Linked DNA regions of Caenorhabditis elegans. The protein of the gene in region 1 interacts with the protein of each later gene in a pairwise test. Each region holds a gene or a part of one and is shown on either strand. Other genes may lie near its edges. The genes, in order: eif-2gamma and C05G5.1.

What was found.
Region 2: the proteins of eif-2gamma (region 1) and C05G5.1 interact in a two-hybrid assay, tested with the Caenorhabditis elegans proteins (one large-scale study listed by BioGRID).

Annotation. Positions count from the first base shown.
Region 1 is NC_003279.8:2,311,119-2,316,553, reverse strand, and holds eif-2gamma (protein-synthesizing GTPase), read right to left. Parts: upstream 3,284-5,435; 5' UTR 3,244-3,283; coding exon 3,234-3,243; intron 3,180-3,233; coding exon 3,091-3,179; intron 3,047-3,090; coding exon 2,841-3,046; intron 2,784-2,840; coding exon 2,393-2,783; intron 1,559-2,392; coding exon 950-1,558; intron 899-949; coding exon 794-898; 3' UTR 562-793; downstream 1-561. Other genes in the region: ekl-7 (PEHE domain-containing protein), read right to left, coding at 1-114, 165-245; tbca-1 (Tubulin-specific chaperone A), read right to left, coding at 3,658-3,804, 3,856-4,044; 5-cytosine rRNA methyltransferase nsun-4, read right to left, coding at 4,509-4,712, 5,380-5,435.
Region 2 is NC_003284.9:14,733,875-14,741,970, reverse strand, and holds C05G5.1 (MFS domain-containing protein), read left to right. Parts: upstream 1-1,851; 5' UTR 1,852-1,964; intron 1,965-2,034; 5' UTR 2,035-2,115; intron 2,116-4,492; 5' UTR 4,493-4,595; coding exon 4,596-4,691; intron 4,692-4,948; coding exon 4,949-5,104; intron 5,105-5,152; coding exon 5,153-5,235; intron 5,236-5,721; coding exon 5,722-5,938; intron 5,939-5,988; coding exon 5,989-6,169; intron 6,170-6,559; coding exon 6,560-6,732; intron 6,733-6,933; coding exon 6,934-7,273; intron 7,274-7,335; coding exon 7,336-7,460; 3' UTR 7,461-7,529; downstream 7,530-8,096. Other genes in the region: F33C8.4 (DUF7758 domain-containing protein), read right to left, coding at 7,652-7,807.

The DNA.
Region 1 (5,435 bases):
GACCCACTTCTTGGCGAAGGTGCTTCGTGGTGGAGGTGCTTCTTCGTTTTTTGGAATGACCGTATCAGAACGGAGCACCATAATTGGTTTCCCGCGTAAATTGTTCAGCTGGAACTAGGTTATGTTTTAGTGGGTGGAAAAAATCGCACAATTCAGAGTATTACCTGCACTTTCTTGCTCCTGTCATAGCCGTAAAGTGACGTTTGAACAGTGTTCGGACCTTCGATGAATTTCGGGGCCGGCATCGCTGAAATTTATCATTTAGAGTGTATGTTTTATCCGATCGAGGCGTTAAAATAAAAGTTTTATACATTTTATTCAGATTTTCGAACAAAAATTTGAGAAAATTGGAGAAAATAAAGAGAAATTCAGATGAAATTCGAAAATTTTCTAGCGGCCTACAACACCGTAAACATTCTACAAAAGTCTCATCGCGGCGAGACCATCTGCGCAAGGAATGAAACCTCCCTTTAAGGTGGGTTACTGTAGCCTGCACTTTTCGTTTTGTTTTTCAAAACCTGAATCTTTGCTGCAATTATAAAATGTATTTCCAGATTTTACTCAAATCCAATAATTTATCGAAAAAACACCAAGCACACTTTCAACAAAAAGAAAAATAATCAATGAAACTGGAAGTGGAATAGTAGGAAACAGGAGGAGGACAGAAAAAAGAACCAAAACAGGGATCCGACAAAATTTTTTGGACTAATAGAGAGACAAAAACGGAGAGAAACAATTGGAAAAGATTAATAATATGTCAAAACCGGTGTAGACAACAAATCGATGATAGCCGCTAGTTCTTGTACGGCTCAACGGTTTGACCTTTGCGAATGGTTCCCCAGCCAATCAGGCGCCAACTCTTCTCGAAACGACGTGACATGGCAATCTTCTCTCCAACCTGAATTTAAATACAAATTAAATTTATTATTTTATAAAAAGTGGGAATTACCTCTGTGCAAATAGGATCGTTTAATCTGATCTTCGCGGCGTCTCCCTTCACAGCAGTAACTCTTCCTCCCGTTGACAACGATCCAATGTTCACCAGCAAAGTCTCTTCCTTGACAAGCTTCTGCACCTTGGCTCCCTTCTTCTTTCCTTCAGTACGAACTCCGAGCAATCTTCTCAGAAGATAGAAGGAGATTTCAATTTCGATGAAGATATCTGGAAGAGTGCCAACGGCTCCGAGGATGTGACCGACGAGTCGATCTCCACGGCAGAGTGTCGGGTCGATCTTCGTTCCAACACCGATGAGACCGCCGGGAACGGCGTATTCCAGCTGGTTCTTTTCGGCAAACAGAGAGTCGATACGGGAGAAGATCGGACGGCATTGGAGTTGACCGGTCGCGGTTTTTGAGACGATTCCCGGGCGAACTTCGATTTCTTGTCCGACGCGCAGAATTCCCTTGGTCAATGTTCCTCCGGCGACTCCTCCCTTCAAGTTTTCAACTTCAGATCCTGGCTTGTTAACATCGAATGATCGGATAATGATGAGACGAGCCGGCGACTTGAAGTCACGGACTGGCACGGGGATTTTCTTGCAAAGATACTCGCAAACGAGCTGAAAAATCGCAATTAATCTAGTATACACGCTCTCCTCAAGCGTTCATAATTATTAGAGCGCGCTCGCGCGGCCCCTCACGAACTCCAGAATTCGCGGGGACAGCAGTTTTAGGCGGCTGTTTTTGGCTTCTATGGAAATTATTTTTAATTTTTTGTTTAATAATATTGTTGAGAAGCACCATCCGAATTGAAAATGTGTAAAATTATGAAATCTGACCGAAAACTGAAGGTTTTACAGAGAGGAGTCACCACGGCTTTCTTTAAAATGTATCAGTACAGTCAGTTTTTCGATTTCAGAGTCGTAGAATATGTTATTTTGTAGAGAAAAGTCTGTTTCACAAAAATCCATGTTTGAAATTTTAAAATTGTTCTTATGAAAAACTGAAAATTTGAAAAAATTAGATTCTAACGTAAAATTGTTGATTTTTTGAATATTTTTATATTAGAAATTAAAAAATTAAAATTTCAAACATGGATTTTCGTGAAACAGACTTACAAAATGACATATTTTACGACTCTGAATTCGAAAAACTGACGGTACTGATACATTTTAAAGAAAGCCGTGGTGACTCCTCTCTGTAAAAACTTCAGTTTTCGGTCAGATTTCATAATTTTACACATTTTCAATTCGGATGGTGCTTCTCAACAATATTATAAATCAAAAAAATTAAAAATAATTTCCATAGAAGCCGAATATAGCCAAAAACTGCTGTCCCCGCGAAACGAATTCCCGCGAATTCTGGAGTTCGTGTGGTGCCGCGCGAGCGCGCTCTAATAATTATGAACACTTGAGGAGAGCGTGGTATATTTAAATCCAGATTCAGATCCTTACATCAACATTATATTTAAGCTGCGCAGAAATCGGGATGACTGGAGCATTCTCGGCGACCGTTCCTTGCACAAATCCGGCGATTTGCTCGTAATTTTCGCGGGCTTGCGACTCCTTGATAATATCGACCTTGTTCTGAAGAATCATCAAATGATTCAGCTGCATAATCTCGACGGCGGCGAGATGTTCAGATGTTTGTGGCTGTGGGCATGGTTCGTTTCCGGCGACGAGCAAGAACGCGGCGTCCATGACAGCGGCTCCGTTCAACATGGTGGCCATAAGAATGTCGTGACCTGGGCAATCGACGAATGAGACGTGGCGAACACAGGTGAATTCTCCACCGCATCCGGCGCGCTCGCATGGGAACCGATCGGGTGTTGATGAACCGGCGGATCTGAATTAGAATTCAAAAATTATTTATTTAAATTAAATTTCAGGGAGATATTATAACCTGTAACATCCTGGCCTTGGGCACTCTTGGTTAGAACATCTGTAGATCTTTGCATTAGCGTATCCAAGTTTGATAGTAATATTTCTTTCCAACTCTCTTTTGAACTTGACAGTATGCACACCGGAGAACGCTTTCACCAGAGTGGATTTTCCATGGGCTACGTGGCCAATAGTTCCGATATTAATCGTGGCTTGTCGAGAGATAACCTGAAAAATAACTCTTTAACTCAAAAATTATTGATTTTCAGTACCTCCTCGGTGAGTGGGTTCAAATTATCGACTCCGACTTTGTCCAAATCTTGTTTCGCAAGCCAGCTCTGGCACTTGTCCTTTTCAGCTTCTAAATTAAGAAAGAATTATGAAATTTTCTTGAAACCGAAAAGCTAACACTTACCAGAAGCCATATTTTTTGTTTTTATGATCCCAGTTGAGTCGATTATTGATCTTTAAAAAATTATCATTATAATTAATCGAAATTACTCAAAATTAATTGAAAATCCATAAAGATTGCATAGAAAACAGGCTAAAATTGGATAAAATTAGAAATGGGTTAAAGGCGCATGGGAGTGGTTGGAAGGGTCTCGATGCGATTTCGTGTGTCGATTTACGAGCTCGAATTTTATGTTTTGCTTTTTAGCGCGAACCAGGCAAAAATCGTTGAATTAACGGACATCTGTATATTTTTCGTATGGAAATATTAGCGAAATTGCTTCTTAAAATTATTTATACGGCATTATAAACCATGTATTCAAGTAAAATGCAATAATTATTCATCATAAATCACCGAAAATCCCAAAATAACAAAAGAGTATCATAAATTAAGCAGAAATGGAGTCCACAAGCGTCTTCGCATTGACGAATTCTGCGGCTTCCTCCGGATAATTCCCAGAAGCAATCGATTCACGGAGGTCGGCCACAGCTTTTTGGAGACGTGATTGAGAATCGCGGACCATGTTGGCAGTTTCCTGAAAATATTTTAATTTCGTATACTCGTAAATCGGATTATTTCAAAAAACCTTAACAATATCCTTCGACTTCTTGGCAACATACTCCTCGTCCTCGTTGGTGGCGTCGGCGGCGAGTTGGGCAGCCTTCTGCTCCTCCTTCACAACTTGCTTCTCGTAATAGGCGACTTCTTTGACGAGACGTTGCACGGTTCCCGTCTTGATTCGGAGCGCTTTCAGCTGATCGGCTTGGGTCGACATGGCGGCGGGAGGTTCTGCAATGTGAATTTTTGAAACAGAGAACGAGATTGTGAGCTTGCTTTTATGGACTAAAAATCGATAGAAAAAGGCGCAATACCACCGAAAATGTTGTGCTCAATGAGCCGAAAAAGGACGGGAAAGCGAGCAGATGGTCAGACACGCTCGGCGATTTCGAAATAAATACAAATTGACCGCTGTCTGTTGGGCGACACAGGTTCCCGCCAAAAAATCGACTGTTCAAATGATTTCGCAATACATACATAGAGAACGAACAAGAAGGATCAATGAAAAATTCTATGAATTTGAAATTAGGTACTGATGGAACGGCAGATGCACCCATGGGGGTACTGCATAAATAATAAAATTTTAAAACAAGACATAAATTTAAAAATTCAGATTTAAAAAAAACAAACAAAAAATAGCAAAATCTAGAAATTTAAAAAAATTCATCAAATATTAAAAATCTATTGCAATCTGGTCAGTTTGCAAATATACATTGGTCCAAAGTTAGAGGGTAGAAACGGCACGACGAGGGCTCCCAGTGGAGTGTCATGGAAACGATAGAGGCCTGATGACGTCATATGGGATACGAGTTGATGTAGGGATTCCTCGACGGTCACGATTCCAAAGTCATTGCGTACGACGGCTACAGCGTTCTCGACGACTGCCTGAAGAAATTTGAATTAGCATTTTTGAGCTGTTATTTCGACAAAAAACCCCGGTCTCGACACGCCAGAAGTACTGTAGCCGCGAAAGTACGCAATCACCGGATCCTACGAAAAAATGCATGCAGAATTTCGGGATTTTTTTTGAGGGAAAATGTTGGGATCGGGCGAGAGTTGAAGCCAGAATCAAATTTTTAAACGGAAATCGTCAAAATTTGAAATTTTGATTTGATTTTCTCAACTGTTTAGTGAAAATTCGAGATTTATAGTGTTAAAAGAAACGATTTCTTCACATTTTAAACTTTTGTGAAACTATCAGAGCAAAATTTGAGCATTTCGGGGTACTGTAGCGGTGAAAATACGCAAACACGGCAGGGAGCGCAAAAAAAAATGCAGAATGCGATTTTTTTTAAACTAAAATTGGAAAATAGCCGAATATTGTTTTGAAAAATTGAGTTTTTCACGTTTTTTGTAAAATTTTCATCGATTTTTCATCAATTTTCGAATTTTTTACAAATCGAGAAAAAACTATATTTGTCATCATTTTTCAAGGAGTTTTTCAAAAATCGATGCAACAAAAAATTTGGAACTACAGTACTCCTTAAAGGCGCATATATTTTCCTATTTAACAAAAAAATTTGTCGTGCCAAGACCAGGTTCGAGCGAAAACCTCGTTTTGGCTTGGTGAGAGTGTGCACGTCGAGTAGACAACCGAGCCACCAACTT
Region 2 (8,096 bases), on another chromosome or scaffold:
AAGTTCCATAATAATTAGCAGCAAAGTTCAGTGATTTGAAGAACAGAAAACAGAAAGCATAAATCATCTTTAAAATTTTTTGAAGAATATTCTGATTGGTTAAAAAATAAATTAGAAAATGTGTCATATTTATTGGTTCAAAAAGGTATAACGTTTAATTGGCGATTGTGATTATTCTGCTCCTCATTTAAGCAGACAGGGAGCAGAAAAGCTTAGTCGGTATTGGTAGCAATTTGGAGGTCACAATTTCAAGTCCGGGCTCACTTCCTAGGTTCACCCAGTCTCTATTGGAAAGTGAAGCAATCCACGGCTGGATTATCGGCCACAGTCTCCGGCTAGGACGTGGCTTAAATTATAGCCCAGTGGGAGCACAACCAGGCAGTGTACCTAACTCCCAGATCCGCAGTGCGTTGCGCTTGAAGAACGAATCGCCCTTTAATCTTTTAATCCTTTTAAATATTTCATTCGAAATATAGCAAGTTTCAAATATGGTTTACGAAAAAATGGTTCAAAAAGTATATAACTGGGCATTCTACTATTTACGTTTCAATTTATTCAAAACTCTAATGTTTTCAAGTACTCTTCGTTTGGTTAAAATATAAGGGTCTAATGGAATTACGATTTCTGTTTTATACTTTTAGAACAAAGCATACATCTGTTCTGTAATCTGTTCTGTATTTTTGAGTGTTTAAATTTGCAGGGTTAAAACTGTATTTCCTTTTAATTTTTTTCCAAAACCAATCTAATTATGTTTCATTTTTCATAGTTTTTGAATAATATAATAAATATACATACTGTGATAATTTATTTATCTGCAGATTGTGAAACGTGCGACAGGGTAGGTAGGCTCTAACTGTTGCTCTTTCAAGGAGTAGTACAACAATGATTATTCAAAGAATTTAAATGAATTAAATCGCTATGTGCAATTATTCCATAAGTGTTCACCTGATGATTAATTTAGCAATAAAAATTCCCAAAAACTTATAATATGTCTGCCGCAATATTTCCTATTAATCGGATCACCAAACAATTACAAAACTCACACCCGTTCATTGTAATCATTCTATTGACTTTTGCATTGTTGAATCAGCCGGGCAATGTATGGTAAGCCCAATGATCAGCGAATAGGAAACCCCATATAATAATATTGGCCAGTAGGTCCCCAGAAAAATTTTAAGTCTACATCTCGACAATGATAAATATTGGCTTTAAAAATGCAAAAATGCATGTCTTATTGAAAACAAAGATATTTCAGAGCTATGAGGTTCAAGAATTGATTAGGTAACAAAATCATAAAACAACTTACAGGTTTAAACCATTTTCTGGAACTTTCGTTTGCTATCTGAATCTATAGCTTTCACTGTTATTTTAACTAACAGTTTACAAACAGTAACCATAAAATATCATCCGAAAAGAGAAACACAAACAATACTTTTTTGGAAACAAAAAAAACTATTTCGAGTTTCACTGAAAAGTAACATTTTTAGAGCTCTTTATTTATTTTCAACTTTTTGTACCAAAAAATGGCAACCCTGGCCGAAACTGAGTCAGTGAAATTCCATTTTTAATGTTTTGTTTAGAATTTTTTTGGGTTTGAGAGCATTCAATTAATTTCAACCAAATAGTTTCAATAAAATGTATCTTCATTTTTAAAAACGTCGAAACACTTTCCAAAACTTAAAACTGATACTTGCTTCCATACAAGACTACACACAAAACACACCGACTCCCGGTTGTGCTCGATAGTAAAAAGAAATGAAACGTGGTTCAACTACATTTTTCGGAATGTCCTCAACTACTGGACACGTGTGTTTGCTCTCCTCACTCTCGCATACATATTTAGTTCCTAGCGTGCTTTTCTGCGGTTTCCTTTTTCTCTAATACTGACCATTCATCAGTTGCAAAAGCGCACCACTTAGAGTTTTAATTTGCTTTTTCTTCTTGTTGCTATCTATTTTTTTTCAGTAAGTAATTTTTTTAAGTTAATAAGAATACTTCAATATTAATTTTTAAAAGTCTTCAATTAATTTCCAGAACAAAGAGATTGAAAGCCAGTGAAAAATTGATTTTTCAAAGCACGAGTACTACTGGGTTGGATTGGTAAACACACATGAGGTGAGAGAGGTATAGGAAACAAAAGCTAAAAACAAAAAATAAATAATAGTGCAATTTCACTATTTTTTCTATTTTATGCAAAAAAATGTATGAGAAATTAAAATTTTTGCTTTTTTAAAATGTTTTTTGACCTGTGGTTGTAGTATTTTGATGTTGCATTTACTTCCTGCGTGACGTCCTTATCATTTTGCTGAAGTTTCAAATTTATGATAAATGCACTAAAAGTTTCAAGCAAATAGTGAGTTTATCAGCTTCAAACTTTTTTCCCTGTTGAAAAATGTATAGTAATTTAGAAGTTTCACGTCTGCACTCAAAATTTAAAATTAGAAAATGCACTTGAAGTACTTACTAGAATTACGATTCTAATAGTACTGCATTCTTTCATTACTTTTTCTTTGTTTGACACTCATTACAATAGTAGGTAAATATATTTTTATATAACTCATTCCATAATTTTTCAGTAATTCCTATAAATGATACATACTTTTCTTAACTCATAAAAATTATGTCATTTCGAAGTGAAATTCTCTCAAGCTGATTTGAAAATGCTTATAAAAAATTGAGCTTGAAAACAAAAAAAAACCAATATGTGGGTGGAGACTATTTAAAAATGGAGTAGCGCCAGTTGGGAAGTTGTTACAAGCATGTATAATAGTGAAACTTTTTTTTTTAATTTTAAAAACTTTTATTGACTGCCAAAAAGGGGCCTTACGGAGTTTTTGCCACTTTTAGAGAGAATTCGAATCCTTAAAATGTTAAGTATCAATATTTGAAACATAAATATATCATAAAAGTCGGTGAAATTTTTTATCAAAAACGCAAAATTGAGATTTTTCCAATTTTTCAAAAATAACCTTTTTTTTTATTTTGGATTTTTAAAAAATAGCTTCTCCATTATTGTTTCTGTTTTTTATCGTTAACCAGTTCTTCTAAAAATGTGTATATTAAAAAAAATTGAAATTCCTACAATTGACCTTGCCAATACATTGACATTTTCCGTTTTTGATTCGGGTATATATAAAAAGTTTAAGTGTAGTGAATACTAATACTTTCAGTCAGACATTTTGCTGAATTTCAAATTACATTTCAAATTAAAAAATTCTGTTCAAACACTGCACAAGTCAAAATGACTCATTCCTTCATATCACACATCAACATATACGAAAACTCTAGTAAATTGACTTAATTTTCCAATAATGCGATTTAAATGTTCCAAACAACGGAACGATGATTAAACGTTTTCTAAATTGTTTATGATTCTTTGTTTTCATAACCGAATAATCTTTTCTGGAAAGGCGGGGCAAGGCGTAAGTTGTTCTAGTCACAAGGAAATGTAAATAAATTGTCATTACGATGGCTTATCAACCAGTTCAAAATCGGTTCAATTTCCTATTCCGCCTTGCCATTTGTCATTTTTAGATGAATTTTTAGTTAGATTTGAAAAGATACAATACAATTCAAAGTATTATGTGTGTAGGAGAATTTGTCAATATAATCTAAAATAAAGGGAATGAAAAACATATGCTACTACGTATTTTAATTCTTTATTAACCTTTTTATGGTAAATTCTAACTATACATTTTTTTCCCCCGATATCGTTTGAGAATGTAAATTAGTAACCTTTTGGCTACAACTTACAAGTGCTTTTTCTATTGAAATATTTGAATTTTTGTATTTTGATTTTAAATCTGTGTTGCGACTAGACACTATTAACACAATTTAATCAGACCCACGTCAAGAGGTGACTTTAAAACTTTTAATCGTCTTTCCAGTTCACTTTTTTCTTCGCCAATTTCTTAGTGTCACCATGTGTGGTCTGAGGAATGCCTAATGCTTGTTCACATCGCTAATTTGGTTTATCAATTCACAGATCACTTTTTTTTATTTATTGCATTACTAAGTTAACCATACCCAAAGTATGTATTTTGGTCTTGTTTACTAATCTTTCACAGTCGAAGAATTCCCACCATTTGAGACCTGTTCTCTTTTTATTACCTTTGCAAAAATCCTGCGATAAACCCCTTCTCAAAAAAATATGAGAACATATTATATGTATCAAGAGAAATTGATATAGCATCATAACCACGATATCTTCTCAATTTCACTTTCAAATGAGAGAGATAATAATCAGTTTTTAGTTTCCATAGTTACACTACATTGTCCTAGAGTTTGTGAGCACTCAGGGCACACATTTTTCAGAGTAGAGTGTCATTTTTCTAATCAACCTGCAAGCAGTGTAGAGGAGGCAATTCCTTTTTGCTTTACATTTTTCGATGATAAAACCATTGGTCGTAGATCAGTCGGTTACAACAACCACGCTTCACCCTTACCTCTTCCTTCCTTTTCTCTTGCCTCAATTTATTGCATATTATTTCAGCAGCAGAGCACACATCTTACGTTGTCAGAGAGGAAGAGGATCAGTGTTTTCACAACTTATACTATTTGTTTTCCACTGATAACATCGACGGCATCGCTTGATAATGATTAACAGCATGCTGAACGAGGATTATAGGGTTTACCCCAAACGATGGATTTATTTGCTGGCAGTGAGCATGATTAACTTTTCAAATGGAAATGTGAGTAACATCATTATTGGAAGAAAATAATTAAATGACGAACATGATCATGTGATTTGTTTATAATAGATTTTCAACCTAGACTTCATGTCGTCGTAGATCATATCAAATATCATTGAAGATAGCCAATATCAACTAAACAGAAAGTGACAAATGATGATAAATCGTTCTTCTTCTGATAACTAGAAATCTTAGAAATCAAATGTTCTATCATCAATTAAAAATGTTCATGATCATAAAAACAACCTTTTCTCCAGACATGGATCACATACGCGGCCATCACTTTCTACACTAACAACTACTACTCCAACTCAAATGCAGCTCTATTTTTCAACGTTATTTTTATGGTTTTATCGATTCCGGTGGGATTCTTAGCATGCTGGTGGATTGATAAGTTTGGACTCCGATCAGCGGTAGGATAATCTGACAAAAATGCTGATCTAGAGCTAGATGTATTGCAGTATCACATTGGAACATGGGCAAATTTCATCGGAAACATTATTCGTCTGGTTGCGTCAGGGACTTTTATAGACCCGTCACTACGGTATGTGGTTTTGGGGATTTGAATATTGAAGTTTAAAATATTGGTTTCATTCTATCCAAAATGTTTATTTTAATTGTTTAAAATTTTAATTCTAATTGCAATCTATGTTTATTATCATAAATTTATATGTATAGTCCAGGGCTCTCATAAAGTCTCCATAACGGCACCTGCACCGGCTTTACGGCGTGACTTAAGCCGCATGTATCCGGATGCATAGTGCGGTGCAAAACCCCGAACGTGTCGGCCACTTTCAAACAACTACATCTTTGCACTACGTTGCGCACACACCAAGCTACTACTCATTTCACGCCAAGCTGCGGAACCCCGAACGTGTCGGCCGCTTCCAAAAAACTACCTTTTCGCATTACGTTGCGCAGACACCAAGTTTCAAAAGCTTGACTAAGTTCAAAACTGATTACCCTAGACACTAAAAATGCCTACCATTCTCTTAAATTATTGAATGCGAAAAAACTCTCAAGATTTCAGATTCCCAATTGCTATAACCGGACAGGCAGTAGCCGCTTTTGCACAACCATTTGTCATGTTCCTTCCCACAAAACTCGCAGCATACTGGTTTGCGGATAATGAGAGAGCTATTGCAAATACACTGTCGTCAATGTCGAATCCCATTGGAATCGCTGTCATGTACTCATTGGCACCTGTATTTGTAAATAAGACAACTCCAGACAACTTTTTCAATATGGTAGGAAAATCCGTTCTTTGAAATTGAATCTTAGAAAAAAAAACCTGCAGAACATAGCAGTAACGGCTGTGGCTGTCATTCCTGTAATTCTCTCCTTGTTCATCAACAAGTCAAAGCCACCTACTCCTGCAACACCTTCCAGAGATACAGACGTAGATGCCCCGCCATTTTTGGAAGGTGTCAAAATATGCTTCAAATCGAAAACGTTCATTGTGCTATCCATTTGTTTGGGTGAGTTGTTGACAGTCAAATTTAAAACAACATTGCCAAAAAGTATGCCTGATTAATGTTCAGTACAATAGTTTAATACAATAGTGCTCATAATTGTCACAATACCCACAGAGTGACCAGAAAAATTTTTTGATCTTCCTAGAGAAACATGAGTTATCATCATTTTGTAAATTCACTTTTTCGTTAGACTTACACTTTTTCCAGCAGGAGGTCAAAGTCCTGGGAGTATTCAGGGCAACTGTGCTTGCCAGATTAAAATGTTTTTGATTTTTCGAAATGCGGAAGAATTAACATACATCTTGACAGTCTAGTTTCCAATATGTCACGTATGCACATTTACAACCTAGAAACTGCCAAGTAAATGTCTTTCAAAAATGCTTTAATTTTTAGGCGGAGGAGTCGGTCTTTTCAACGCGTTGTACAACAATCTGCAGCCAGCATTGTGCGTGAAAGGGTATAACCCGACGTTCAATGGAGGAATGGGAACCTTGTTGATCATGTCTGGACTCGTTGGAGCAGCTATCAGTGGGATCATTGTTGACAAGTGGGGAGAATTTGAAAAAGTTAGTTTAAAACTATGGATATCTGGTGGCAATGCATTTTTGAACTTCGACGTACCAAATACCGGTTACCGAAAAGTTACCAAAATTTCTGCAATTTCCAATTAGAAAAAACAGTAAAACAACTAGATTATTTTCTCCTTCTGAACATAGCTTTTAGATCACACTCTCTACACATTAGCTTCACATTCCACAATTTTTCAGGTAATGAAAGTATCATTTTGCATTGCCGGAGTTGCAGCAGCTTCCTTATCAATTTGTATCAACTACGAGGGTGTGCAGTGGTGGGTGATACTCTCGATTTTTATCTTTGGAGCTGCTGGATTCTCAATTTATCCGATTGGTCTCGAGATGGGAGTTGAGGCGACATTCCCAGTGGCAGAGGCCACGTCAACCGGACTTATTATCATGATTGGACAGGTTCAAGGAGTATTTTATGTGATTATGACAAATCTAGCTGTCGGAAAACCGGACCCTCATGATATGGCCATTCAAACGTGCGTGGACACCAACTCTCAGAATCATACGGTGTTAACTTGGAAATGTAAGATAGAGTTTTCATTGTTTTAATTAAAAAATTATGCATTCTCAATTTCTTTTTTTCAGGGCCATTCCTTATCTGGCTAATTTGCATATCTGTCCTTATAACTAGTTTTGTGGCATTCTTCTGGCCTAAGTACAAGCGAAGGAATTACGAGCAGGGAAAGAAATGGAACGAGTTAGATCTTTAAATCTATGTGTATACATATGTATTTATGAAACCAAAAACATATTTTCAATGAAAATTTGAAAAATTAAATGTTTATAGGCAAAGAAAAAGTTTATAAGAAAATTGAAAAAAAAAATCGGAGAACCAAAACTTAATTACACGGGGGTGAATCGGAAATGCAAAAAAAATCGAAAAAAATATATGAAAAACCGTTTAATCTTCATCATCATCAATAAGTTCTTTCTCGTGTTTTGCATCGGTTATCATTTTATTGATAGTGTCAATGGCTTTTTTGGTATCTCTGTAGTCTTCATCTTCCAGTGTACCTTTGCCAGCGAATTTGGCTTCTTTGGCGTATGATTCGCAAATCTATAAATTTGAGTTTCTTTTGTAACACAATGTGATGATCTTGGAGTATTCAGGCCTCACGACGTCACTCAAGCCGCATGTATCCGAATGTATAGTGCGGCGCGGACCCCGTACGTGTCGGGCGATACCAAATAACTACATTTTTGTACTAGGTTGCGCACACACCAAGCTACTCGTTTCACGCTAAGCTGCGGAACTCCAAACGTGCCGGCCGCTTCCATATAACGACCTTTTCGCATTACGTTGCGCAGACACCAAGCTACTCGTTTCACGCCAACCTGCGTAACCC